Linked DNA regions of Lonchura striata. The protein of the gene in region 3 purifies or fractionates together with the protein of the main gene of each other region. This does not show direct contact. Links are inferred from orthologs where the notes say so. Each region holds a gene or a part of one and is shown on either strand. Other genes may lie near its edges.

Region 1 (9,947 bases), on a different chromosome or scaffold from region 3:
ACAAACTATTCTGTTCCTTTACTGAGAACAAACTCTACTTAGCAGCTGTAGAGTAAAATCATGCTCACAATAACTTTAAAAAGTTACCATACAGTCCTATGCAAGCACTATAATTACATTACACCACGCTGATCTGCACAAATCACAGAAAGCCCAAGCTGAGCTTTTTTGGCATCAGTTATGTTCATAAAAACTGAGGATTAGTCTCACTTTATTCTTCTATTCTAGTTTTTGCAGCCCTATCTAGCTTTATACACCCCTTCTCTTTCCTGACCTTGTTAGAAATAATGGGTTTAGTCAATTCCAATATCAACTAAAGAGACAATACCAACTCAGGGCATTGAAACCACCTCATATCTCACAGCTTCATCCTCCTAAGCCATTGGTACTTTCCAATAATGGTTCTAAATAATGACTTCCATCTTGAGACAGCAAATTGCCCAAGAATACCAAAATGTGAATTCAGTTTCCTTGTATTTGAAGGTGTTTGGTTGGTTTGTTCTTTTTTTTTTTTTTTAATTACTCACTTGAATTTATATGACACAATGATGGAAAACAATCTGTCAATTCAGAGAACACAAACACCATCATATTCAAAGATGAAAGCTTCAAGAACAAAGCTAAGGATAAAAGCATATTAATCATATTTAAGTAGTGTTAAATACCTAAATAATGAGCTGCAGGAGATTCTTTGTCTACATTACAACAATTCAAAATATTCTCAGCATAAATAAACTCTGTCAGCCAAAATCTTCATAATATTAACAAAAGATGTGTTAAATTAATATTTGACAAGTACATCAATTTATTAGTAACTCCAAGTTCAGGTGCACATTGCAAATACTCACAGAAACCTTCAATCTTGTCAGCTGTCTTGCTCCATGCTACCTGTCTGGTTTCCATTATGACTTGAATAGTCCTCCTTTCTGGGCTGCTCTTCTTAAGACTGAATATTGTCATAACAGTTCCCAATTCCAAGGTCCTTTTGATCTGGCTTTTCTCATACTCAGGCAGCACTCCATAGTCTATAGTCTTTCTGGGCATCTTTTCTTTATAATCAAACTTTTATGGTCTTCAGTGTCCTGATGAGAAAAAAATATAAGGAAGAAAAGGGAGAAAATTCAATATTTAAAACAGCATTTTGATTTCTTTAAAGATCACATTTAATGTAGTTAGATACCTAACACAGACTCCTGCCCATGCAAATGCAAGGCAGGTACCTGGCCAACATTAACTCTTGCTGGTTTATCCTGAAAGGAGATACAAACAGTCTTCACAGAGGGCAGTTCCAGCAACATCAGCGTGTGTAAACTCTTGCACTGTATTAGAATTAGATGAGATCTACATAAGAATGTAAAGCAGGTAACTGTCCTTTTGAGAACTGTAATGAAGGGAAAACATGAGTAATACAAACATTGAAGTGCTGGCAACATCTAAACATCAGTTTTTGCACTTTTAAAACTTCATGGCTCGGTTTCTCCTACACAGTCTGCCTTTTCTCACCCACATGTTGGGTGGCAGATATTTGTGTGCATACACTTGGGACACATCTTGGAACAAACCAGCCAAAAGAAAGATGTGTTCAGAGCAAATCTCACAAATATTAGCAAGTTTCTGTGCTCTCTGGTCTCCCAGATTACTGCATCAAACAGCTAATTACAAGCCTGATTACTCCTCAGTGAGATTACTTACAAACAGGATGGTCTGCAACCTGCTCTGTCACCCATAGTATCACTGTCACACAAGTCGCAGGGATTGCTGCCACACAGCTCCCAGCCATCCCCCTTACCCGGTCCCTGAGCAGGACACGTTTAAAGCAGCTCTGTGCATGCTGCCCCCAGCCACGGCGTCTCCTCTGCTTCTCTTCCTCTCTCCTCAGGTCACTGCTCTCCATCACAAGCAGTTTCAGTTTCCGTGTTCATGGCTAATTCGACCGTGGCACTTCTCGCTTCCCCTTCGTGACTTCTGCCAGCCCTGGCCCCCTCACCCCGTGTCGCTGTCTCCTGACTCCTCTTTGCTGCTCCCTCTCACTAGCAGCGCTCAATTGCCTTTTACCATCGTGTCACAGCTGCTTTAGGAGCAATCGTCCTGACTTTGAAGCTGTCCGGTGCAATCTTTCCAATCCCTTCTTGAATTCTACCACTTCAAATAAACACTTTTTTTTTTTTTTTGCAAGTTAACAGAGAAGCCACGGAAGTCCTTTCTTACCTCTACACTGCCAACCGTGAGCTTGAAGTGCTCTACAGCAGGAACCACTCCATAGTTTACAAAACATACACATAATCTGGTGTTTTATATTGTCTTATTACAGTAAAGAAAAAAATGGAGTATTCTTCCCTTATACTATTTAAAAAATTTATGTACCCCAATCCTATAGCTGGGAGGGAGTGAACAACTTGGAAATACTCTAACAGCAGATTTATTGTTTACTTTTAGCCATAATGTAACTGATCCTTTTAGACTACCTGAAGATAATCAAGTAATCATTTAAATTATGCCAGGCCTACACCTAAAAAAACATCCACGGTCATCTTGCTACAATGACTTGTTAAGATAAGAAATGAAAGGAGAGAAAAATAAAAAATGAAATTAAAATCTTTGAACAGTGTCTGTTTTCTAACAAAAAAATAATAGAAACCCTGTCTTCTCACTTTGCTCTTTTCATTAAGAATCATAATAAAACAAATATGCTGTGATCTGTGACAAGGATTAAGCATTTGTGCAGTGCTACACTGAATAACAGAAAACTGAACTTTTAAATTAGTATAGTTTTTCAAGAGATGATAAAAAAACATGTGGAGTTGCGCGGCAAAAACATACATCAGCTCTGCCTTTTACAGTACAAAGTACAGCTGTTAAATGAAATATGATTCAGAAAAACACGAAAAGAAGTTTCTAAATACAGCTGTTTAATAAAGGGCAACACAGTAGGTTTTCTGAGAGATAACTCCCTTAGTAACTCCCTTAGTACAAAGGAACTGCCTCTCAGAGGTGGCTTCTTAAACCGTTTCTACTGAATATAATAGACTGGACTTCCCCTTTTAAAGGAGTTCTTTCTCCCCAAACCAGAGACAACAGTGGATTTAATCTAACTTCTAAATCACAAGCCAACTTTTTGACTTAAGGTGGAAAGAATATTGCAATATATGATCAATCTAACTGGCCACTCCTAGAGACTGTTTTGGCTACCTGCTCCACTTTAAGAGTAACATCACATGAAGCTGCCTAATAGTAAAAGAACTAACAGAAGTCCTTGGCTTTAGACCTTCACACACCAGGAGCTGTCTTACACTCACCCACAGGTGCCCCTCAGCCTTCCTGACACCCATCACTGCACAGCTATTTGAATTAACAGCCTTTCTACCCATTCATGCAGCAGAATTCTGTGATGACCTTCATCAGCTGCTACCTGGATGCCTCTAACCCAGCAGAGTGTGAACTACGAGATGCTGTGTGGAACAGAAGCATCACTGATCTTCTGCTGAAAAGTTACTGAAGCCTTACTTGGAAAGATCCAGCATCACTTACAGGACTCAGCAAGCGAGTTAATAATCATCAAAATATGCCACAAGCTTCAGCTTAGACAAAGCCATGACACTTTCCCTTTGACTGTAGGAACTACAGGAGGTAAATTTTGAAGGTGTCCTGTACCATATGCAAAACTTGGATGATTTGTTACTGTTTAATACCTGTTCTGATAGGTTTTAATTGAAAAGCCTGACTAATTCAAACTAAAAAGTCTAAAAGACACAAAGCAAGTAACCAAGTGAACACAGACATTAAAAAAAAAACCCACCAAAAAATCCAAATTTATTTAATCTACCCTGTCTACTTAGTTTTACTTCATTTACTTCAGACTTTAACAAGCAAACCCTTCTTGGCAAAAGATCAGTGTACAGTTCATAACTCTCTTCATGATAACACAGAGAGGAAAATCTAGAAAAGGAAAGCTATAAACACAGCAGCTAGCAAAGAATAGCTCAGATAACCACTGATGGGTCTGTTATAATTTTACCAACATGACACAGCAGGTGCTTTCCAGACACAGAAAGTTAACCAAGAAGTGCAGTCCAAAGTTTGTCTCCAGTCAATTTCTAAATTTTCCCATGTGCTCTGGCCATTGCAAAAGTTTTGTTGCATCCTCTGCCAGGAGCTCTTCCTTTGGGTTTAGGACATCACCTCGCCAGCCGGACGGGCACCAGTGACAGCAGCGCAGTACCACAGCAGTGATAATTATTAACAATGGATGCACAGCCCTTGTGCTGCAGCTGCGGCCCGGCGGGGCGAGCAGGGGAGCGGTCAGACGGTGCCACCTGCCCGGGCAGGCCGGGCCCTCACCGGGCAGAGCCGCGCTGCCCTCGGGCACCGCCGAGGCTTCCTTCCTTCCTCTCCCTCACCCCGGGCTGCGGCGGGGCCGCCTCAGGGAGCCCCTCGTCCCCTCCTCCAGCCCAAGCGCGACTGGCACGACTGTCCCTCACCCTCCGCCGCAGCCCGACCCGCGCATCCCCCGCCTGCCCTCCCCGAGCCTCCCTCACCCGGACTCGCCGCTCCGCCCCAGCCCCGCGGCACCTGCTGCTGCTGCCGCGGGGCCGCCCTCACCTGCGCGGCCGCGGGGCTCCGTGCGGCGGCAGGGCGCTGCCGTCCCTGCCCTGCCGTCCCTGCCGTCCCGCTGCTCCCGCGGCGCCTCTCGGCTCCGCTTCTGCCGTCACCGGGAAGGGGCGGCGCCACCTGGCCCCGCGGCCGCCCGCGCGCCCGTGGCTGCCCCGGGGGCTGCCCTCAGCCCTCGGGCACCGGCCCTGCCCTCCCGCGCCCTCCGCAGCGCCGAAGCGGGGCCGGGACTGCTGGGACTCCTCGCCCCGTCCCTCTGCCCGTCCCGGGGCTGCTGTCCGGGCCCCCGGCTGCCGCTGTCCCGCAGGGCCCCCTGAGGCGCGGTCCCCTCCGCCAGGGCGGCTGTCCCGCCGCTCGGAGCTGGGGTTCTGCTCGTCTGAGGAGGGTGGTTGAGCCGTAGGAAAAGGCTGGGCGGATTCACTGTCGCTGAAATGATCTCAAAGTCAAGTTAAAACTGACTCCCAGTGATCCGCTACGATTGTATCGCACGTCAGTTTAGGAGTGGCAGTGCTAAAAGTGTTTCCCAGACTGGGACTCAGAAGAATAGTGGTAGGAGGACACCCTGCTTGCAGGTCAAGCCCTGGTACAACCATTCCTTGATGTATCGGTCTTGCCCCAGACCAATTTGATAAATCTGGGGGAAATTCCTACACCCACAGGCATGAAGACAAGGTCATCAAAGGGAGCAAGTCATGCCAGTTCAGCAGACACCAAAACAAATGCCCAGAGACCAAAGCTAGGGATGCCACAGCATTTTGAGGGAAGATCTTGGTCATTTCTGAAAGGGCTGTGCCATGTTACAATGGCAGGTCCTGTATTCCAAATGCTGATTCCCAAACACTGATGTTAAGTTTCATGGAGATAATTCTTCATCTCCTCTCCCTCCAATACTGGTGACTGGCACAAGGGAGTGAAAAGCATAGGTCTTTTAACAGATTAATTTACTCTGTTGAGAGGGAAAAAAGTTTTCCATAATTTTAGTCAGCATTATAAATAGTTGAATAGTAATCAAACATTGATATTTTCACCCTATACTTGCAGAAACTACTGAAACAAAATGATATTGGCAATGATGTTCTGCACCAAATGCCACCAAAAATATTCCCTAGCTTCTTCTCCCTACACAGAAGGAGAAGAAAATGTCAAGTGTGTCCAGCTCTTGTGTAGGAGCAATTTGGGAAGCTCTTCCCAAATCAAACTAACAAGCTTTTATCATGCTCAAAAGTACCAAAGGGTTTCAAATAAGTATGACCTATCAAAAAAGAACTAAAGAACACACTCAAAATATATCACCACAAAAGGAAGAAACCCAATACCTGGGAAAGGTGTGGTTCATTTCAAATGCAAAACAAAAAGATGATCATTGCAATCTTATCACTGTTTGCTATTCTGTGAATATTTTTCACATCTTTCCAGAAGTCTAACCTGGGAAAAGTTTCTCTATTTATAACGTGCAACTCCATTACAAATCACAGAACAGCATCTAACAGGAACCATGGCAGTAAATTAGTGAGAATAGAAGAATATGTATTAATCACACCATGGTGTCTCTGCCATACATTATTTTTAGCTCTTCATTTTTAAAGTCTTCAATGTTTCATGTTGAAGCTGCCTTTGAAATTATGTGAGCAGTGGCAAAAAGCAAGAACCAAGCAGCCAATTTCCCCAGCTGCAGAAGTTAATAGCCAAACATTCATCCACACCAGAGAGCTGAAGGGTGCAGGTGATCCTGGGCATTTAGCAAGCAGGAGATGGCAGTATTCACTTCATGTCAGCTGTCAGATCCAGGAGTCATCTGGGTCCATTGAGAGTGAATCCAAGTTCCAGCAAATACCAGCCCCAGCAGCCCCTCCTGGTTCTGCTTCGCTTGGACAGGTACCAACAGCCTCCTCACCAGTCATATGGCACAGCTTCAGCACAGGAACCACCCTTGAACAACCCAGAAGCCACACAGGCACAGAGCTGCTCATCTTTATGGTATTTAAAGCTGTGCTGCAGAAGTTAAAACACTGCTGCAAAGATAAACTTAGGTCTGAACATACTTGTGGTTGTGCCTCATTGGTGTTTTGGAAGGACAAAAAAACCTGCCCATTCCCAGCATTTCTTGTATGACCTTAATCTTACCTGATAAAATGCTCTTAAAGCTGAAGATTCATTATATAGCCAGAGAAAATATGTATGTTGAAGAGAGTCATAACACTGAATCCTGTAAATTGTTGGATGTAACAAAATCTCAGATGGAGCAAGGAATCCTTAAACCCAAAACAATAAAAGAGTAACTCTTACAAACACCAGCTGTTACTCAGCACATTCACTACACCCAAAATAAGAATATTCAGACTTCCACACAATCCCAACAGATTTGAGTTATTATCAGAATCAGCAGCTCTGCTGTCCAACTACCAAACCTCAAAAGTGAGAACTTCCAGGCAGACAACATAATTACCTGTAAGGATTATGGATCTCATAGTCACAGATAATTATCAGGTGACATCTCCAGTCCCTTTTTGTAGGAAAAAAAAAAAGCCTGTAGAGCTTTTTTTCTCTGAGGAAATATATGCTGACAACAGGTGTGGGAAAATTAGGTCTCTGAGTTGTAGAATCTGCCCCAGCAAAGCCTGTGTGTTTAAAAAGAAGAAGGTTAACCACTAGAATAAAATCTTCCTTCCTTCCTTTATTCTTTTTTCTTTTCAGTTTAACTTCCTTCCTAAAATTTTTAAAGACCCCTTAAATTGTTAAAATATCACTATTTATACTGAAAAGCGAGTTTTTCAACTAGGAGTATAGTTTTATATTTTGGTCATAAATCCCTCAGAAAGGGAATTTATAGTGTTCATGCTAACACTCTCTTAATTACAGCATTGAAAAGTTCAACCCTGTCTTATATTTGGGAATGAAGTGTTGATTGCTTCCCCTGAAGAATAAAGCAAGGCATGAAAGAGAAGCACAGGACTGGCTAGGCAGTCTCGTGGATATAATAAATAATGGTCACAAAACTGGTGCCACTTCCTCACAGGAGATACAAAGAAAAAACAGCTTTTGTGCAGAAGACAGATGTTGAAAATCTTTACCCCATCAATTGTAAAAAATGTTAAAGAGTGATTAGGCAGGAGGAACAAATAGTTTAGAGACTGCCACAGACATTTTGTAGCCAAAGGATTTACTAACCACCAGAGTCTCTGCACTCCTTAGCAGGATGTATGTTAGCTCAGCTAGATTTTCTGGTTAGAGCTGCAAAACTATAACCACATGTTTCATAAAGAAAACTTAATTTTTAAGGTTTGCCTTTATGAACTTTTCATCTGCAGGACTCAAGCTGATTTTAAACCTGTCAAGAGAACTCTCATACTTAAGGCTGAGTAGCAACAACTGCTGTAGTATGGAGGGAGGAGGGGAAGGATGTCCCCAAAGCAGTCCTCTGCCACCTGAGTTCCTCATGGCAATAGCTTCAGCTACTCTGGGAAGCCTTGATCATCTTTACTGGCTCAAAGGACCTTTGCAGCATGAAGCTGACCTTTGAGAGCAATGTCCAGCTGTAGTAGCACAATTAAAATAGTGAGTTTTACAGATCCACCTTCAACACCATCACAGAGTGTGACAGAGAGGTCCAACACCCCCAGCACATCTTCTCAGCATAACAGAACTCAGGCTCCTTGAAGACAATCTCTTGTAGAAAGTGTTTTAGTGTATACTTGGCTCCATTCTTATCAGAGTTGCATTTTAATCTTGGTAAATTATTGTCACTTAATCATAATATTTAAAGTAAATATTGACTTAAACTACTAAGGTCACTAGCAAAAAAGCTGACATGAAGGAAGGGAGGTTGTACTTATAAGTGGCTGGCCTGTTGCCTGCTGAAATGTTTATCTGAGTCCTCAAAAGCTGAGCTACTCCTCAGTTCAGTTACCCTGTCTCTTATTTGCAAGATCTGCATTTAAAAAATCTTCTGAGGAGTTTCTGCCCACTGGCCTCATACACAAAATACAGTGCTGTCCCTTACAATTTCTGTAACAATTTGCATTTGTAGATGTCAAAACAATTTTAAAAAATAATGGAAATCATTATATCACATTTTCAAAGGCACCAGGCCCAGAGGGTGAGGAGGTTTGCCAAAGATCTCACAGCAGTTACATGCCTTGGGCAGAACATTGCTTCCAGGTTTTATCCTAATGTCCTGACTTTGGAATGGCATTTCCTCATAGCAAAGCTCGTTGTGCCAGAAGAAACCTTTTCATTTGTCAGAGTTATACTTTCAAAAGTCTCAGTCAAGTGAAAACTCTGCTGTGTGGTTTGGGATGCTCAATAAAAACCTTTTAAAAAACACATGTGAAAATATTTGAAATAAGTGTCAAAGAGCATTTTTTTAGACACACACTAACGAGTTATTTACTCAGCACCTTGAGACAGCTTTGACCACAGAAAACACCAGTACGTTTAAAAAGGGCCTGCAATCCCACCTTCAGATGAATATATTGCAGTCACTACATCCACAGTGATAAAATGCCAGCAGCTCATTACCAGTACTATCAACGAGTTGATACCATTGTTACAAGGCCTCAGCAGAAAAGGAAAACTGCACAAGACTCTGCAGGGAACCAGAGACATTTTTCTCCTGTGCTTTTTAAGCCAATTACATTAAAATCTTTCATAAAAATAATATGCTTTTGAGTGGGAAGGACTGAAAAAAAACACAATTTGACAATAGTTTCAAATTAAGTGAGTTGTAACTCAGCAAGAAACAGTCCAGTTCTCCCCCCAGGTAACTTTCAGCCTTTCATTTTTTTCCCACTACAGAGTAGCACCACGGGTGAGTTGAGGAGAGAAAAGGCTCTGTTACCATCTGTTCAGCCTCCTGCCCTCACTCATTATCCCTGTAAGCCTGGAGAGGTTTAGGAAAGGGATCTTCAGGCAGGCTGGGCACAAGGAGCAGGGCTGACCTCAGCCTTCAGCTCTGAGCCTGTCCCAGGGGGACTCAGTGTGAGCAGAACACCACCGAGGCTTCTTTCTCTCCATGGTCATTTTCCTTTTTCCGACCATTCTGCTGAATCCTTCTTAACATTGCTCTCGCTACTGCCGGTGGAAGCTTTTCTGGGATCATAAAATAGAGATAGGCCAGGTCTTTCTCTACTTTCTACATGGCTGATTGCAGGGATTTATTATTGTGCAAGGCCTTCCCTCAGGGCACACAGGAAGGGAGGAGAAGTTCCTTGCATCTGTGCTCACTCATGCATAGATCAGCTTTAATCTGACACATGCTACATCAGAAAAGTTTAGAAAAGCCCTCTAGTTAATCAAAGCACAAGAATTCTCTGGGGATGGCAAGAGCACACTGGTCCTAA
Region 2 (9,628 bases), on a different chromosome or scaffold from region 3:
CTACACAAATTTTCAAGCTCCAAGGACAATCAGCAGCCAATACCTAAAGAAGAATACAAAAGCATAGGAAGGATGTGGTAAAAACTCTTGGTTTTAGTCAGCTGCATCTCAGGCACTTCCCAAGCTAGAATTAGCATCCTGTGCTCACTACCCCTCCATGGGCTTTCCCTGTGGATTTACATGGTCATTTTCTGCACCTGTGTAAACTTTTGACATTTACATGGACTCATGGTGAGAAGTTTCACAGCGTAACCACAGGTAGTGAGAAAAGCCACTTCTTCACACCTGTTTTGATTATGCCCCTTCCTAACCAATGGTGGCCACAGTTTGGGAAGCAAGCAGGGGAATGTACCAACTTGCCAAGAGCTGAGCAAAGAGATCAGTAAAGGGTGGAAAGATTAGGGGCATAAAAATAGCACCTACAGCAATATGTATTAGAGGCATCTGTAAGGGCTGCTACTTCTGTTGTTTTGAGATCATCTGATATACTATCTGGTGTGTAAAATAAGAGCTCATTCCATAGCTGTTAAAAATGCTGACAGGTTCACAGTGTTTTGAAATCTTCAAACAGCATATCCTACAACAGTCAAGACTGTTTCAGGCCACTGAAAGTCACCATTCATCTCAGCTTCCAGAAACTGAATTACAGCCACCTCTGAATTTCTTCCTGTACACATCCTACTTCAAGTGTGGTACAGAACTGACAAGAACACCTAAAATGATGGAAGTGGCATTAACATGGGATGTTTGACACTTCAGAAGAAAGAATGGAAGACTGACAGTGCCCCAGTGAGAACCATTAACTGGAACACTTTAGCTACTCTTCCCCTGAACCAAGTAGGAATGACATAACCTCTCCACCCAGTGCCACCACAGGAAACAGCAAAGATGTTTACTTGTTGCTGAAAAATAAATTAATCATTGCACACTTCCTCAAGCTGCAGAGAAAACAAAACACAAGAGGACTGTAAACATGGGAAACTGTCTATCAAATCTAAGGTGGATTGAAACCAAGACTTACATAAAACTGCATTCTTTCATCTCCCTGTTGGAAATGATATAACTTTTTAATAATTTTAGTTAGTGATTTTAATTAACTTTTAAATTAATAGCTCTAGTAAATCATAATCTATATATACAATTATAAACAGTGTGTGATTCTTAAATTATTCTTAGCCAGTATTTAGCAAAGCTGTCATAATGTACTTTTGTAGGAACATAGCTTGGGGAAACTACTGGAACTTTAACTTTTGATAAACTAACTCTGACATGCTTCAATGAACAAAACCTGAGAAAGATGTATGGTTGAGGTTGGACATCTAGAATGTAGAATTTATGGACCACAAGGACTGTGCAGAAACCAGAAGATAAATAAGGGACTAACAAAGACTTTCCAACTCAGTGTATGTGTTGGAAAGTCCCTACCAGAGGAGAAAGATACTAAAAAGACTAAAAATATAGACCAGCTAGCATGAGAAGCAAGAAATCAATACCCCACAGAGGACACCGTACTAATTAATAGAAGAGAATTATGCAATTTACAACCAATGAACATTCATTTATTTGTTTGCTAAAAAATATAAATAAGTGAAGAAGTTTTATATCTGAGTCTGAGTGGAGGTCAGAATTTTGTGAGCCACAAAAATCCCTCCTGGCCAGCAACAACGTAACATCTTACGCACTAACACTATAAAGAAAATGTTAGAGGGGTTTATTTACCCCAACAATTTAGAAGGATTTAGTAACAATTTACTGGTGACCCAGGTGAGACAACGCATTTGATGTTCCACAGACTTACAGGAACAAGGACTTTGGTGCACACTGAAAGACTTTTTTCAGGGAAAATGTTCAATCCTCTGATCCAGGCAAGTTCAAGGCAAAAAATCCTGGGAGTTTATTAAGACATTACTGAAGGTTTAAAAAGGTATACCTAATCATAAGCTTGCACTCTCTAACATAATAAGAGTTAAGAAAGTTATGATATATAATTGGCTATTTTCTATTAAAGTTAGTGTAAAACTCTGTAAGTGAATATTAATGGAATTGTGTTTGAGTCCCACTGTCTAGTTGGAAAACTCTAATTGTAAAACTATATAAGTGACAGTCAAAAGGTGTTGAGTCTTCACCCTCTGCTTTGCCCATAAATTAGTCAGACAGTGCTGCTTGCATGAAGAGCCACGTTGTGGAAGGGCTTTGCCCAGATATGTCTGCTTATTGAAGCCTATGGTATCTGTTAGTGTTGGAAAATGTGTGTGTTAACGTGTGTCATAAGCATAAATTGAGTCTGTATGAAAACTCATTGGCTGTAAGAGTGTTTAAGCCATTGTATGTTGACTGTGAATTTTAGTGTACTTGGTGTGTACTAAGTGTTTGGTTTTGGGTAATGTAAATTGTTAAAGCGAGGGTCCTTTGCTCAGAGCCCTCTCCTGGCGTTAGAACAGCGGCTGCTCCTCCTAGCTGACTGGGGTTATGTTGGTGTGCACAGAGCGCTCTCTCGTGTCGTGTTTTTGTCATTGCTGGAATTTCTATTTACTGTGGGCTTTCCTTTTTCTTCTCGAGCCCGGGAAGAGGGGTATACGCAAATGTTTGCCTTTAGGTTGCATTTTGCAGCACTGGAAAGAATTTAAAAGCAATTCTTTAACTGGTAATAGCATAATGTATTCTCTGGTGGCTAGAGTATCTATTAGATAATCAAGGAAAATGGTCAGTTCATGGTATTTGACACCAAAATGGTATTTTAGAGTTGATATTATATTGCCAAAAGAAAGAGAAATGGAACAACATAGTACCTCAAGCAGTGATGAGAGAAGCAGGAAAAGATAAACACAGAGAAACACACTGGGGAGCAGAAGCTATGAGAGACAACTTGAAACATCAAGCAATTAGTGTAAAAATACCAGGAATTAAAAGTGTAGTCAGTAAGTGTATATGTTTGCAACACAATCCACAGCCCTACAAAAGACCTCCTTTAGGGATTATAAAAAGAGAAAACTGTCCTGGAGTTTATAGGCAAACAGATTTTTCTGAATTACCTCGACAAGAAGGATATTGATACATATTGGTTTTAGCTGACACATTTTTTGGATAGCTACTTGCACCAACAAAGCAAGAGAAGTTACCAAGATATTGTTAAAAGAGATAATACCCCGATTTAGAATTTCATTCGGAATTAATGATCTATGATATCTTATAACAAAATACAAGCAAATTTTTTGCATCTTGATGTCTTAAGTTTTGCTAGATATTCAACAATTTAAGTGCAAGTAATCATAAAGGAAAATTAAGATCACTTCCAAAGGGGGAAATTTTTGGAAATGTCAGAACTTTTTAGTAATTTTAGCTAATGTTTTTAATTACCTTTTAATTAGATTGTTTAGTCATAATCAATAAATATTAATTCATTATAAATTGTGTGTTATTCTTTTATTACTCTTAGCCAGCATCTAGCAAAGTTGTCATTAAGTTCATTTTGTAGGAGCACAGATTGCAAAATTTACTAAGACTTTAAGTTTTGATAAACTAACTCTGATATGCTTCAATTAACAAAGCCTGAGAGACAAAGATGTAGTGTTGAGGTTGGACATCTGGAAAGCAGAATTTATGGATCACAAGGGAATTTTGCAGAAACTAGGAGAGTCCAGCTCTGGCCCTGGTTCTAATCTACTGGGTCACACTGCCTCATCATACAGTGTATGGCTTAGGTAATCATAACTTTTTCACCTAAATCAAAACATTATTCTCTTGCTGCTAACAACTGGGCAAAAGAACATACCAAAACAGCTGGGACAGTACAGCGTTGATTTAGGCCCAGGCAGATGGAAAACTAACACTATGAACCAGGTGCAATGAAAAAGTGAAAACAATAACCAGCCACACTCTGCTTGGAGAACAAACCTGGATTTTAAAAAAGCCTTTTCTACATCTGAAGCATCTAAAGCACCCTGACCACAAACTATCTGCATCCACTTCCTCCTCTCCTGGAGTAAGAGCCTTTGAGATAATGCCCTTCCAAGAAGAGGTCCCAAGTGGGACTGACAGAAGCCTTACCTGTGTCCAAATCGTTGCTATTGGCAGCTTCACGCAGCCTTTTCAGAGCTATGGAGGAAAGAAAGCAATTACTGGAAAGTACAGAGGGAAAAGGCACGTTTCCCTACAGACACGTTCCACCCCGGTGTTCGAGCACACGCGGGGGGCCAAATCAGGCTGCTACCGGCTCCAGAGAATGGGAAGCAGATCAGGACAGCAGGATATAGAATGGTTCTCCTGTCTCCTGCCGAAGCGGGCTGCGGGCCCGCCCGCTCCCGACGGGCGCCTTCCCCCGGCAGGGACGGGCACGGAACAGAGCCGCCCGCCCTCCCTTCCCTCCCTGCCTGCCGCGGCCCGAGCGGGGCGGGCCGCAGAGCGGCTGTTCGGCCGCGGGACAGCGGCTCCCCGCCGCCGCTCACCGTGCGCCTCCTTGCCCGTCGGGCCCAGCCGCCGGTGGAGGCGGGCGGCCCTGCGCAGGCGGCGGGCCGGGATCTTGCCCGCGGGCTCCTCCCGCTGCCACAGGACGTGCAGGTAACCGAGGGGTGCGTCCGCTCCGAGCGGCGGCAGCGCGATGCGCGGCTGCGGCTGTGCCTCCGAGTCCGGCCCCGGCTCCGAGTCCGGCCCCGCGGCGGGCGCCCCGCCAGCCCCGCCGCCCTCCATCCCGTCACGGCCGGGCCGGCAGGGGCGGGACGCCACCGGCGGCACAGCCCGCGGTGCAGCCAATGGGCAGGGAGCGGGCGGGGAGGCGCGGCGGGCAGGGGCCAGAGAGCCTGACGGGCAGCTGCCTTCCCCAGTCAGACAGAGAGGGGCGGCCGGCCCGCCCGGGTGAAGACAGGCACTTGCTGTGGCCAGTAGAAGGGCTCCGCTCGGCCCTTCGCCCCGCCCCCGCGCCAGGCCCGCGTTTCCGCCCGCAGCGCTGTCCGCGCCGCGCCGCCGCCATGGCCTACCCGGGGGAGGACTACGACACCGAGGTGCGGGCCGCGGGCCTGGGGGGCGCGGGGCTCGGGGCCGGGTTCGCGGGGACTCACTGCCGCCCTCTCCCCACAGGCTGCCTACGACCCCTACGCCTACTCCAACGACTATGACATGCACACGGGTGAGTGTGAGCGCCCCGCGCCTGCCTGCGCCCCGGCCGGGCCGTGCGGCGCTGCCTCACTGCTCCTCCTTCTCCGCAGGAGACCCCAAGCAAGACCTGGCCTACGAGCGCCAGTACGAACAGCAGACCTACCAGGTGATCCCCGAAGTGATCAAAAACTTCATTCAGTATTTTCACAAGACGGTGTCAGATCTCATTGACCAGAAGGTGTATGAGCTCCAGGCCAGCCGCGTTTCCAGTGATGTTATTGACCAGAAGGTGTACGAGATCCAGGACATTTATGAGAACAGGTACTTCCAACAGATGGAAATCACTGTTTTAACTTGTGATGCTGTTAAAAGGGAAGGCTGCTACCTGTGCTGTTCCGAACTTGGGCTTTCTCTGAAACGGGTTTTGTTTGGTAACTGTGAAAAAAAATTCGTTGGTATTACCAGCCCATTAGGCCAATGTGAGTATAGACGAGTTGTGATTTGTCTGAAGGGAAGTGTCAGCCCTGGCCTAACAGGGAGGGAGGCTGCAAAGAGGGCTCTCAGTGGTGTTAGTCTGGCAGTTTGCAAAAACCTGAGGTACAGCTTTTGTGTCTCTTCCAAACGGTTGCTTCCACTCCTGCTTGTAGCTGGGGCAGCTTGACTTAAAGGGAGTGTGGAAGTGACGTACATGTCTGTTTCATGCCTGGGAGATAAATTGCAATCTTACTGCTCAGCTTGTGATTCTCATGGTATGCTTCAACATTGGATTTACTAGCAGGGGTTGGTGGTGCTGCTCAGCTTTCATCAAGTCCAAGGCCTCTCTCTGTTGTCATCTCTGACTCCAGCACTGTCATACTGAGTGAAACGTGGATTTTCATACCTCATGTGTGTCTGTTTTTCAGCTGGACAAAACTGACAGAAAGGTTTTTTAAGAACACTCCATGGCCAGAGGCTGAGGCCATTGCTCCTCAGGTTGGAAATGGTGAGTCTTTCCACTTTCTGTTGGGTTGTCAGAGAGAGAAGGAACTGAATTTCTCCTGACCCTGAGTTATCAGGTGCACAGCGTTGTTGCTGCCTGAGTCGGTCGCCTTTGTTCACTCTGGCAGCTCTTTCAGCAGATGCCTGGCAAGAAGTCAGACTTGAGTGAAGCGTCTTTTTGTGCTTCCTTTCGTTGTTCTGGCAGAAGGCTTCTAGGCCTTGTGGCTTGCTAATGTCCTCTTATGTTGTCTTTTCCAGATGCAGTTTTCCTGATCCTATACAAGGAGCTGTACTACAGGCACATCTACGCCAAAGTCAGCGTGAGTGTTGGCCCTGTGTCTTCTTGTGGGCTGCTTGCTGGCTTCTCTGTGCCAGCAAACTTGACAAGTCTTGCTGCCCTACAGTATCAGTGGTCCCCTAACCTTTGCAAGGCAGGATTGGATGGGTTCATGAGCTGTAAGTCACACTGATTTTAGGGAAGATTAAAATTTTTGCTTTTGGTAGTTTAGTAAGGATTCACTGACTGCTGAAAAGCAAGAAAGACTTGATTGTCTGTTTGAGGCTCATTAGCTGTCTCTTCAGGCTTGGTGGTGATGAGTGTGCTGGTTTCTGTGGTAGCTCAGATGAATCAGGAGACTGGATCTGAGTGTTCAGGAGGCTCTTTGTTTCTAACAGCAAATGTAATGGTTAGTGAGTTAGGGAATAAGGGGGTGTTGGAAGGTAACTGAATTTTCCTTTTTTTTTGCTTATGTGTGTTTCTTTGTTTTTCCTCTTCAAATGAGCAGGCAGTGAGAAGGGGTGTCACAAGAGGAAGGTGCATTATTTGTCATAAAAATCCTCATATGGGATCAGAGTGCCTTATGAAAAGGGAAACATGGATACCATGAAGGATGGAGAAGAAGGAAATGAAAAGAATAGTGCTCTGTGAAACGAAACAAACTTTGTCTTTTTTAAGCCTATTTCTAAGTCTCTTTAATCAATGAGAAAGTCATAGTACTTGGTTCTTAAAGGAAAAAGTCTCAACAGATGCATGACTTTTGGGTAAATAAGTAATAACTGCAGTTTTATTGTAGACCAGAGGGTGGAGAAATGGACACTTTTAAAAGCCTGCTGTGTGCCCAAGCCAAACTTCAGCAGGAGAAACTGGTTTCTCAAGCTGTGCCATTAGTGGTTTTCAGACTCAGTGTCTCCAGCTGAAACAAGAACCAGTAGGTCAAGTGTCTAGGAATTATGTCCAGAAACAGAATTGTTCATCTATTAAGGCTTCTCATGAGCAGAGAAGGAAGGAAAGCTGGTGAAGGAATAGTGAAGTTCTTGAATCTGAACAGCAGAGGGGAGCAGGGAAGGTTAATGCAGAATATTCACAGGATGTTTGACTGCTTGATATCCTGGGAGAATCTGCCTATACAGGAAAAGCCATCCCTATTTTGTGGGACAGCAGTGCTACAATTACAGGTTTTCTGGGCGATGCTGGTGGGTGTCCTGGTTGAATACTGGCTCTAGCACTCCTGAACCAGACCCTCTACTGTTGTGACTGTCCTTATGCTGTTGCCCATGAACTCCCTCCTGCCCTGCTTGATTTGAAGCAGACTCTGCTGACTTCTCTTTGCAGGGGGGGCCCACGCTGGAGCAGAGATTTGAGTCTTATTACAATTACTGCAATCTCTTCAACTACATTCTCAGTGAGTTGCTGCAATTAATTTCTGGTTTGTGAGTTTTGGAGAGAAAGATCAGATGGAGAGGACAGAGCTGGACAAAGGGTCAGAAGAACAGCAACATGTTTCTTTATAAGTAATAGAGGGAAAGATATAAGCTCTTTGCATGTTTGAGTTGAATGAAGAGCAATTTAAATCCATGAATTTAAAACCACAAAAAGCAGAATTAGTTTCCAGTGCTTTCTGAAATACTGTAAAGAATAAAACTTACTTAGCTTTCTTTCTTGCTGAGAACTGCTTCACCTATCTGTATTAAAAAGTAAAATGAAAACTTACAGTAAGGAAAACTTCATAACTGTTTACTGTTGTTGACTCCCCTTGGACCAAATGTTAGTGTTTGTGACTCCCTGCAAAGCCTCATGTGGAGAATGGATCAGTTGGGATAAACCCCTGCAGTCTGTGCAGCTTCTGAGAGCTGATGCTGCTGAGCAGTCACAATCTAGAGATTAACCCTGTGCATGTTCATAGTCTTTGAAAGTGAAGGCAGTCGAGGTAGTCAAAGCTGCATCTCAGCCCTACTGAAAGTTTCGTTCATCTGCTGCCCCACTCCCATTTCAAGGAAATTCTTGTGTTGTTTAATTTGACTATTCCTCCAGTTCTGACAGTGTTCTTGCTGAAGGTGTTAACCCTCTCATCTGTTCTCCTGCAGATGCTGATGGCCCTGCTCCTCTGGAACTGCCCAACCAGTGGCTCTGGGATATCATTGATGAATTCATATACCAGGTATGTGATTATAAAACTGGGCCATTTTGGGGTGTCTTTTCCTTTATTAGTTATATAAATTTTCCATTTCTTCCCATTATTTCCATAGCAAGGGTACCATTGCAAGTTGAAAATCTTTGGTGATCACCGTTACTCTCGTGTTGCCAGGTGGATGAAGAAGTTGTACAGATTTTTAAGTTACAGGGTGCTCTTTGGGGAGTTCTGAGCTTTTGTGCCTATTTGTCTTTCAGAACAAAATTTCTGTCTTTCTTAGTACGGCCCTTATGTGTGCACTGAGAGATTGATGATCTGATTTGAAATAAGCTGTGGTCTGAGGTCTTGACATTAAGAAATGTTTTTCCACTTACTGTTCAGAGTACAACAGTACAGATCTCAAATGCTATTGATTTTTCTCTTCTAAGAATATATTCCCTTTTCTGTAACTTTTTATTATAGATCTGCCTGAAAGTGTTGTCTTGTCAATCTTGAGAACAAAAAGGATGTGTACATATAAGGGAAAAGATGCATGCATGCAAACACATATTGTAATTTGGTCATTCTCTTTTCTATCTGTTGAGACAGCAAATTTGTGTTTAATTGCCTTTCCTAGTTGTTTCAGAGATCCTTTTCTGCTTCAATTGTCTCCTGGCCTTTTCTGTCTATACTGTGTAATTCTTTTAGATGCTTTAAAGGTGGTATAATCTGCCATTTTAATTTCCATGTGATCTCACATGAAACTTCTTTTTCCATGCAACTTGTAGTTTATTGTAATGCATTTGTAGGAGCAAGTTGAAAGCTTAGTCCACTTACCTGAGCATCTCCAGACAAGCTGTCATCACTGAATCTCTGCTTTTCCCTGTAGTTCCAGTCTTTCAGCCAGTACCGCTGTAAAACAGCCAAAAAGTCTGAAGAGGAAATTGATTTCCTTCGTTCCAACCCCAAGATCTGGAATGTCCACAGTGTCCTTAATGTGCTGCACTCTCTAGTTGACAAATCCAACATCAACCGACAGCTGGAGGTCTATACAAGTGGAGGTGAGCTTTGGGAGGTGCCAAACAGCATTGGTGTCTGTGCTGCCTTGCTTTGATTTGACCCAAGTTGCTTAACTTTGTTTGGGAGCTGGATCAAACCCATAATCAGTG
Region 3 (9,930 bases):
GAAACCTGCAAGAAGTGCTATTGCAGAAGAGTAGCTGCATCCCATACTTCAACACTTTTGGAGAACTATTATGTGTTCCAGTTTACGATTGCACTATTTCCTATCACAGCTGGCCTTTGCAAATTAAAGCAAGAAATTCTATAATATGTCAACCACAGGAAGAAGAAACCTTCTGCCACATGCAGCAGAGACCATAGAGGAAGAAGTTCACTTTGTTGAGACTGTTTATCATTGGAGTCCTTTGAACTGAAGACGTAAGACAAGTGTGCTGTGCAAACACAGGAACCAATTGTAGATACATAAGATGCCAGCAGTTTGAAAAAAATAGGCAATGCTGACTTAAGGGAGACCAAAGGCTGGCCTGGACAGAACTAGTCCACTCTTCTAACCCACCAGAGAAATGAGATCTACCCATTATTTCCTCCACCTTCCCCCAGTGTCCTCCTTTATTTTCTCTCCAGCAAAGTGTTACTGTCAAAATACCATTTCTCTTCTGACATTTGCCTGACAAAAGTAACTGATCTATTTACCTCTATGAGTAGTTTTTTAAGGCACAAAGCAAATACAAGTATCCCATAAATATTTGGAGGAAATGCTTCCAGCACATGATGAGTTCTGCGTTCGTGTTTTGTTCCATGAACCCACATTTTTCAGGAAAGATGCTGAACTCAAACGTGAATAATTCAGTCTCGGAAATTACAGCATTTAATGACAATGTCAACAGGAAATGTATCTGAATCAGGCAAAAATAAATATGAAGGCACAGACCTTTCCATCCTTCCCTGAAGGACAATGAAGTTTAAACTAGGAACAGTCACACTGAGGACAGTGACATTGCATTTGTCTTTTATTAGTACAGGCTAATTTATTTGAGAAGGCACCATTATTGCTTACAGGGTGGCAGACTCCTTCACCCTGCATGCGTCATTAAAGACTGTTTTCATACAAATGTAATTTTACATTTTTATCTACAGTTTCCTGTGGCATGGCTTAGCAAGTCTGGAAGCTTTTCTTATTACACCATCTCTAGCATTCCTATACTCTCATTAAAGAAGGGAGAGAAATAAATGGGAGAAATAGGAAGTAGGAATATGAACAACAGGACAAAAATCCTAATTCTCAGCTGGGAAACTGTTTTTTCTATAGAATGAAGCCTTTTTGCTTAGAGACGGAAATCCTACAGAGGCAATATTATAACAAATGCTGCTTAACAGATCACATGGTTTGGTGTAATTACTTACACACTTGGCTCCATAGCTTTGAAAGGAAGTATCGTTCCCTGCATATAAAGCTCACAGAACTCTCAGGATCCCCAGCTGACAGATTCTCCTCCCATCCCTTGCATTAGCACATGATGGCTCATATTCTTCTGAGATCTCTGTGCCATGAGACATCCCCCTCTGTGTACAGCAGATTGCCAGGAATCCTAGGTTATACCTAATGCCCACCCCATTAATTAGTTAGGTAAGTTAGTTAGTTAGTTATTCCCCATGAACTTATCTTCGGGGTTCACTCAGTTTTGAAAAGGGCTCCCTGAACCCCAAGAGTAAAAATGGTTTTACAACTCCTTAGACAGAAGAAAAAACTGTCACTCAGTTACTCAGGATATGCACATATGGAAAGGAGGAAAGATCTCATCCCCTTCCCAGATCACCTAGCCCTTTGAACAAAATAAAATTGCCTTCTGATCAACATGTGTTCATCCCAAAATCTCAAAGATTCCTATTAAGATTCAAAATAACATTCAGAGTAGAGGTAGGCAAACATCTCCTTTTTGTGACAGCAATGGAATCACATCTGAGATTAAATATGGCATCACTTAAACTTTCCCAAATAACTACAGAGAGGCCAATGATGCTCCCTGACGTGCCCCACAAGAAGGGCCAGGTGTAGCATCTCTGATTTGGTGAGACAACTCACTGAAGAACAGAACTAAGCTGAGCCAGGAGACCTTGGACTTGTTTCCATTGCCTGTCACAGGAATTGTTTCCCTCAACACCTGCTGCTCTGTGATGCCATTTAGCTTATAGGAGTCAAAAATGCCATAGGAAGAGAGGTCACTTCAATTACACAGATAAACTGGGCGGGGGGAAAGTACTATGAAATAGTTACTTGTACATTCATAAATACCTGTTCATAATCACCTGCAAGGAATAGTTTCACATTTATGGAAACTCTCTTGAAAAGGGTAACATTAAACCCCATAGTATTGAACAACTTAAAGGCAACAGGGTTTAACTTTGCATTGTAAAGTTTCACAATTGATTGCTTTGTCAGAGTCATTGCACAACTCAAGGGTCAAGGGGCTTAAAAAGGAAGGCCTAAACCTTACCATGTCTTCTGTACATTTCTGTAAGAAAAACCTCTTATTTACTCAAAAATGGAGAAAAGCTGAATAACTTGAAGTGAGCCAGCTACTGTACAAGGATAATCATTCTATGTCATCATGGTTAAAAAAAAAATCTATCAGAACAGCACACAATTAAAACAGATTTTTATGTTATTAAGTAAAGAATTCTTTCCTAACTAGTCTGTATCTCACAAAGTTGAAACAGAGAAAGGAAAAAGCTTTAAATCTCAGAAGAGATCCATAAAACAAGACATCTTTTGATCTCACAGTTCATTAATTTCAACCCTTCTCTAAGGCTTCATAACATCCTTTTAACAGTATCTAACTGATTTCTAGCCTGTTGCTACTTTTTCAGAGAAAACGATTTGATTTTTTTCTCATCCATACTTTCAATGCTGTTGATAGTCTGTATTAAAAAGATAACACCTATTCTGTCCTCAGTGTTGGGTTGGAAACTATCGACACAAACACAATTTGACTCTCCTTTTGGTAAAATTGAGCTATGTTTTCCCAACATAGCTTTGCAATTTCTCAACACGTATCTTCTGCTTTTTGTTTTAACTCTATAGTGATACTGTGTTGAGTGCAGACTTATCCACGTGGCACTTGTACTTCACAGATACTTTCAATTAACATTACTATTCCTAAATTGCAAAAGTCATACAGGTACTTGATGGGATCCAGATTAAAAATTTTAATTTTCAATTTGTACTGTGATGTCCTAAAATACATTAAGATTGTCCAGAGTGTTTCTCTTTCTTCAAAGGTGGGAACGAAAGGCAGAAGATGGGATATTGACTAGAGGTTTCAGATAAAGCTTAGCTTTGTTCTTCCTATGTATATCCGCGGGAATATGACCTGGCTAAATAAGTTTTAAGCGTTAATCCCTTTGGTCTTTATTGCCAACAGAGGGGAGCAAGGCAGCAAGATGAGTTTGTGCCAACTCATTCACTGCAAACACTTGAAAGATGTAATTTAACAGAAACTCTTAACTGCTTTACTGAAGGTACAGCATCACCTCCTAAACTAAAATTGTAAGGAGAAAACACTTCAAGACTGTTCCTTAGGAATACAGTACCTATAATAGCAGTCTGCAAGAAACACTGCACACCAAGCATCACAACACCATTTCCTCATCTTTTAATTCCAAGCACATTTGAATAGACACTTAAGAAGAAGAAGCTTTAACTTGCAGAATGCACGATAAATTATGCTCCTCGAAAAAAAGCAGCGTAAGAAGGGATACCCAGAGATCACATCACCTCACCTCAGTCAAGGCTATCGTTTTGGCTCGAAACGCCGACTGCGGACTTAAACCGGGTAATTTCACACGCTCCCCGGCACGAAACAGCCAGAAGGCACCCGAGCCCTCCGGATCACAGCAGAAGCCAGGCAAAGGAGTATGAGATAAATCATGCTTTTGAGAACGATTATTTTATCCCAAACGCGGTTATTTCCCTTAAGACCCCATCCAGTCCTACCGGGCAGGTCGAGAGGCAGCGGCACCTCCTTGCGGGGGCAGAAGCGAGGGAGAGCCGCCCGGCAAGCGCCTGGTCCCGCCGCTCCGCTCCGCTCCGCGCCGGGGCGGGGCGGGGCGGGGGCGCGGGGCAGCGCGGCCGGGCAGCCCCGCGGGAGAAGCGGGGCGCTGGGCACCGCCGCTCCCGGGGGAAGGCACTCACTGTCCCGGGGGAAGGCACTCACTGTCCCGGGGGAAGGCACTCACTGTCCCGGGGGAAGGCACTTACTTACTTTCCCGGGGGAAGGCACTTACTTTGCCGGGTGCGCAAGCTGCGCGGCAGCGAGCGAAGCGCGGGGCGCGGAGCGGGGCGCGGAGCGGGCTGTCCCGGGCGCCAGCGGCGGGGCCGGAGCGCGGCTGTCGCGGCGCGGGCGGGGCGCGGCCGCGGGAGGCTCGCAGCCCGGGTACTTCCTGCTGCCGGGCAGCGTTTGCATGTGGTGGACAGCGGGCGAGCGGCAGAGCGGGGGCCGGCCCCGGCCCGGCGGCTGCGGCTCCTCCGGCTGGAGGCTGTGCCGGGGACGAGGTGGGGCAGGGGCTGCGGCGGAGTGTCGGGGGTCCGCCCCGCCGAGCTGCCTCAGAGGGGAGCGAGCCATCATGAGCCTCGGAAAGTTACAGCAAAATAAAACTCTGTTAGTCTGATAGGCAAAAAAAAAGCTCTCTTGTTCCACCAACAGCCAAAAAACCATTTGAACTCCACAAATCCACTCTAAGTAGCTTCTAAGGTCAATTGGAGGCTTGGTTGAGAGAAACAAAACAAGTAAGCTTATCTTTCAATGTTTCATTTTATTTCAAGAATGATTTACTAGCCTGGTGAAAAGTGAAATAAAAATCTCACAGGTCAGGAAAACAGGAAATATGAATGCATGGACATAACAGCCAGAGGATGCAGGTGAAAAGCTTTACAATAACTAGAGTCAAGTGTCATGTGTGTACTGCCAAGCCACATGGGCGAGTTCAGGTCATGGAGATTTCCAAGGCAGAATTTCAAATGAAAAGCATTTAAGCTTTCCATATAGAAGTGTTTAGATAATGGATCGAGTTTGAGAAAGAGTCAAAGTGTTACAAGATGCAAGACACTCAAAGGCACCTCTGTACACATTCCCAAAGTCCACCAGCACAGCCTAACTGTGGGTTGGAGTGGACTCAGGAACTGGTGAGGACTTCTAACAGGACACCCAAATAGCTGAAAATAGCTCAGTGCGGGTCACACCCTGTTGGGTTCATGAGGAGAACCCGATTCATGTCAATTAACTTATAGATCTTTGGTGCTGATGTAAAGGCCTGGCACTCCTGGTGATGTGCAGCTGGCACAATCACTGCACACTGGTTGGTGTTTGCTGCAGTCCCGTCTGATACCCTGGCTCCAGCACACAGGTGTCTGCCTTGATCCTCTAGAAGACTCAGTCCATAGAAGCAGTGAGACCATAGTTTGTCACATTTCTTAATCAGTCCCAGATGTCCCTGGGCATCTCTAGAGCTCTGAAAAGTAGTGGGCAATAGTTTCTGGTCTTCTTTGAATTTTATCATCAATGTTTAAAATAATGTGGAAATACTCAGCATTAGACCAACCTCTAAAAGTATTGTAGGGTGAGACAATAAGGAATTCCTCAAGGAGGGGAGAAAACATTTACCAATTTTTAAGTAAAAAATTGGTAAATGTTTTCTCCCCTGCCCCAACTTAGGTAAAGATATTTCATAATAACAATAACAATAAGAAAAAACAACAATAAAATGAACAGACCAGACAACAACCTTTTTCCCAATGAAAACTTTATGTAAAAATGAAAGATCTGACTAAATATACATTGTCTTGGGTTTGGGGATTTCTTTTTGGTAGGAAATTTGGATTCCAAAAGTTTATGTAAAATGAGCTATTTCTGAAGTGCACAGTTAGTGCCTCATGTTTCCATTTTCCTCTATAGGACAAGCATTTTGATCTTGTAACTTTCTTCTTGGAGAAGTAGTGCACAAATCCCACATCTGTCTTGCTCGCCCTCCTTTCCTCTTTATATCTTCATTTCATTATCAAGTATTCTGCTGAGTTTAATATTCCCTTCTCCTAACAAAGCATTGGTGAAAATAAAATTTAGTTTCATAAATGCATAATAGATTCCAGCAGTCAAGTAGAATGCAATCCTATCTATAATGTAAATAATCTGGAAAAATAAAAGACGTGCTGAATTACCTTTAATAGATTGCTGTGCAATAGTAAATTGTGAGACAGAACAAACTCATCAGGTTTGCCCTAAAGGAACTAATATGAAGAAGTGTTAGAGTAGAATAAATACACTGTGCTTTATACTTTTTTTAAAAAGACAGGTTGTTAGTATCCCTTGAAATGTCATGGGTTTATGTATCATTGTTCCCACTGTTACAAATATATACAAAATCTACTTTAGAAAGTGTAAGCAGGAAAGGAAGTCTCTCATTATATATTCATCAAAAGGGAAAAAAAAGCTGATTCCAGCCTCACTACATCTACAGTAGGTCAGCTGTTCATCACATTTTAAATGTACATGTGCATAGATCAAGAGAGTTGGGGGATGGTGTAAAATGGGGCAAGAATGAAACCTCAAGCCTGTCACTGAAGGGGAAGTCCTTGCAGGAAGGACTGTGAGTCACATTAGCCAGCCAGTTCAAGCCCAGCAATTGATTTCCCACTTTGGAAAGATCTGACTCCCAGACAATGTCTCTACTGCTGATTTAAGCATGGCTGCAAGGCTGTGATCCAATATGAAGGCCAGCTGGCAATGTAGGGGTCCACGTCCATGCTGTTGGCATCCAGAACATGGGGACGACCCCAGAATGGCCCATGTGTCCTGGTTTCTGCTGGGATAGAGCTCAGTTTCTTCTTATTAGCTGGTGCAGTGCAGTGTTTTGGATTTAGTATGAGAATAATGTTGGTAACACACTGTAGTTTAGTTGTTTATGCTTTCACTAAGTCAAAGCCTTTTTAGTTTTCCATACTGTGACAGTGAGCAGGTACACCAGAAACCAGGATGGCGCTGACCTGAACTGGCTAAAGGGATGTTCCATACCTGTCATATTCCATATCCTGTCATATTTAAATATATCATATATATTATTATATACTGGGGAAGTTGGCCAGGAGGGAGCTGGTCATATTTTGGGGGTGGGCTGGGCACCGAGTAGTGGGTGGTGAGAAACTCTGTTGGAAAACACTTGGTTTCTCTTGGGTTTTATTCCCCCCCCCCCCTCACTCTCCTTTTCATTACTATTATTATTATTAGTAGTAGTAGTAGTGCTACTTCTACTACTACTACTATTCTTTTTTACTTTGTTTCAATTATTAAACTGTTCTTATCCCAACCCCTGAGTTTTTACCTTTTTCCAGGTCTCCTCCCTACCCCATTGGGAAAGCAGCACTGAGTGAGCAGCTGCCTGGTGCTCAGTTGCCAGCTGAAGCTAAACCACAGCACCACGTTAACTTTCAGATCAGCTCTGGAATATTTTTTGAGAGTGGTAAGTGGTCTGGGCCAGGGAAGAGTCGAGCAATTTGTCAGTAGACTCAGAGGAATGTCCAATGATATTTGGTTGGGCAGTGATTTAATGAGCCTTGTAGGGTTCACACCAATCCCTCTACATACCTGTGCTGATCCCTATTTGGATTGTGTCTGGGGGCATGAAGAGGCACAAGCTGCAGGGAACAGTGACTCTGGGCAGTAAACTAAACTTTGTCATGGACAATGAAAACAGGCAACAAACTTCTCTCTACATTTTATATATTCCTTAATCTCATTGTTGCTGAGTTCTTTCTGCGGTATGCTTGAATACAAAAGCAGAGCATTAATAGAAGACTAAAAAATAGACAGTAAAGCATAAATGGCATAACCAGGGAAATAATTAGTGGGAGATCCCAAGGAATACTTGAGTTCACTCAATTAAAGAAAAAACAGAGGAAATATCACTTTGTTCAAAAATAGATTTGTAAGAATTTAAGTTCTTTATAAAAGAGGAAGGAAAGATAGAGCATGGACACATGTAAAGCTGAAACATTTAGACATCTGGCTGTTTTGTATGAGCCAGAGTTTTGGAGTCACAGCAGACACAGTAAAATGTCTTTTCTTTAGAAATTCCAGCACTTACACAGTCACTACTTGTACTGTTTCTCTCATAATTTTATCTCAAGACATTATCATTAAGTAAATTGCATACTGTCAAAATGCTTTATAATAATGTAGCAAATTTTTAGCAAGTAATAAAGAGTGGATTTAAAAAAAATGAGATACAAGTCATGCAGTCATTCTTCACTCAGAGTTACTGGAGAAAATAAAAGCAGTATATTCTTTAGCATTATTTTTTTTAATAATTTCCTTTCTTATTGTAACCTACTATTTTAAAGAAAGTAATGTTGACCTATAAGTAGAATATGTATAAATTTTATTCTAAATATGCCCTTCATGTCCTAATGATGGGTTGCTTTTGTTTGTTAAAAAAAAAAATAGAAAATAAATTTTATTATCAAGTATGAGATAACAAGTTAATGGACCTTATATGTGGATATTTATCAGTTTCTGCTCTTATTTCCAGTTTGGAGCCTGGGAAAATTAAGTTTTGTGACACTAAAGAGAAATTCAAACAAAAAACCAAAATCTTAGTTTTAAATGTAGTTCCATTATGATTATTTGAAATATATCACACAATAATTTACAATCTTGACTAATTTTGTGATTAAAATTTTAGAAAATATTAAAAACATTTTGGGGAATAATGCACAAATCCTTATAAACTTTGACTCAACATTCATTTGACTTGTTGTTCAGACTAACAATACACATACTAACTAGGCTAAAGCTGGGAAAGCTGGCATCTTTCCTGTAGACAGTGATCTGCCTAAAGCACAGCCACTTGCATTTTATTACACTGATATTTTCTGGCCATAAATCCTGAATTCAGCCTTTTTTATTTCATCTTGTTACTTCCAGTTTCCATGAACAACTCATAATAATACAGCAGATACTTGGCTTGAGATCCTCTTGGCTTGAGATCCTCTAATTCTGAAAGTTAGTAAAAGCTGCTTCTTCTGCATCTTTGCTGATTTAAATATTTTATTCACCTGCCATTATGTGGTTTTATACATAGACATATTTCCCATTTTGTTTCCACTTGTTTAATGGCTGTGAGTGGAAAAATTGCTATTTAGGGAATAAAAGCAGGCCCAACACTGGAAGCCAGTTTGACAACCATCTGCATTGAACTAGGTTGTGTTGGTGGGACAGCATCCTGAGTATTCTGATGGAAGTTGAAACTGGCCTATGTGCACTACAGAATATCCCAATTGCCTTTCTGTAGAAATGACTGCTCAAATAAAAGGTTGTTGTGGTTCTCAAGAATATCATCCTACAGAGGCAAGAAAAGCAGCTGGACTGATGTGTTCTTCACAATTCATTTGGGTAGGCAATGAGAAGGTTGAGCTGACAACTAGTGACTCCAAGAGTCTTCCTCTTTTAAACATTTGTGGCCATTTACAGATATCCTTATTAATCTGAAGAGACTGCCCACACTAATAAAGAATGTGTTTAATTAATGCTTAATTTAGTACACAGTTCTGTGATCACTAATATTGAATTGCCTGAAAGAACAGATTTGAGCTAATCCAGGAACAGGTATGTGTGATCATTTCAAATTAGCAAGATCACACAGTGGGGATATTTTTGTTTGCTTGTTTTGTTTCTGCCTTATATTCAGGGCATTGCACCTCCTATTGCCAGCCTGGACAAGCATTCAGCCTGTGTCTTGCAGGTCCTGCACCACAGAAATTGCCAGTTCAGAAGCAACATATTGTTTCTGGAGGCTTTTTCACAGTGGGCTGTTGTTGAAGAGTAGCTTTCCTTTTCCAGGATCAGCTACTTGCTACAGAAAATTTCCCCGTGGAAAGGCACTGGCCCATTGTTAGCACTGCTGCCGTGCAAGGGCAGCGCAGTGCTCAGGCTGCCCTTGAACAGCTGCAGTAGCAGTGGGCAGGTAATCCCATTGCTGATCACAGCCACACAGCTGTATGAAGCACCCATGGACCACATGCAGCTTTCATTTTCCTTTGGAA

Evidence for each region.
Region 1: the proteins of LYN (region 3) and PLCG2 purify together in Homo sapiens (affinity purification with western blotting; 3 studies listed by BioGRID, with this or other methods). This does not show direct contact. The link is inferred for Lonchura striata from reciprocal best matches to the Homo sapiens genes LYN and PLCG2.
Region 2: the proteins of LYN (region 3) and ANKRD54 purify together in Homo sapiens (affinity purification with mass spectrometry; 3 studies listed by BioGRID and IntAct, with this or other methods). This does not show direct contact. The link is inferred for Lonchura striata from reciprocal best matches to the Homo sapiens genes LYN and ANKRD54.

Annotation. Positions count from the first base shown.
Region 1 is NC_134615.1:19,330,204-19,340,150, reverse strand, and holds the start of PLCG2 (1-phosphatidylinositol 4,5-bisphosphate phosphodiesterase gamma-2), read right to left. Parts: upstream 4,669-9,947; 5' UTR 4,600-4,668; intron 1,083-4,599; 5' UTR 1,045-1,082; coding exon 849-1,044; intron 1-848. UniProt on the Homo sapiens protein: The production of the second messenger molecules diacylglycerol (DAG) and inositol 1,4,5-trisphosphate (IP3) is mediated by activated phosphatidylinositol-specific phospholipase C enzymes. It is a crucial enzyme in transmembrane signaling.
Region 2 is NC_134607.1:23,540,906-23,550,533, forward strand, and holds the start of ANKRD54 (ankyrin repeat domain-containing protein 54), read right to left. Parts: upstream 4,694-9,628; 5' UTR 4,687-4,693; coding exon 4,446-4,686; intron 4,096-4,445; coding exon 4,048-4,095; intron 1-4,047. Other genes in the region: EIF3L (eukaryotic translation initiation factor 3 subunit L), read left to right, coding at 4,965-4,997, 5,074-5,122, 5,202-5,412, 5,994-6,073, 6,328-6,389, 7,682-7,751, 8,434-8,507, 9,349-9,520. UniProt on the Homo sapiens protein: Plays an important role in regulating intracellular signaling events associated with erythroid terminal differentiation.
Region 3 is NC_134603.1:39,097,699-39,107,628, forward strand, and holds the start of LYN (tyrosine-protein kinase Lyn), read right to left. Parts: upstream 4,220-9,930; 5' UTR 4,122-4,219; intron 3,922-4,121; exon of another isoform or gene 3,832-3,921; intron 3,671-3,831; exon of another isoform or gene 3,545-3,670; intron 1-3,544. UniProt on the Homo sapiens protein: Non-receptor tyrosine-protein kinase that transmits signals from cell surface receptors and plays an important role in the regulation of innate and adaptive immune responses, hematopoiesis, responses to growth factors and cytokines, integrin signaling, but also responses to DNA damage and genotoxic agents.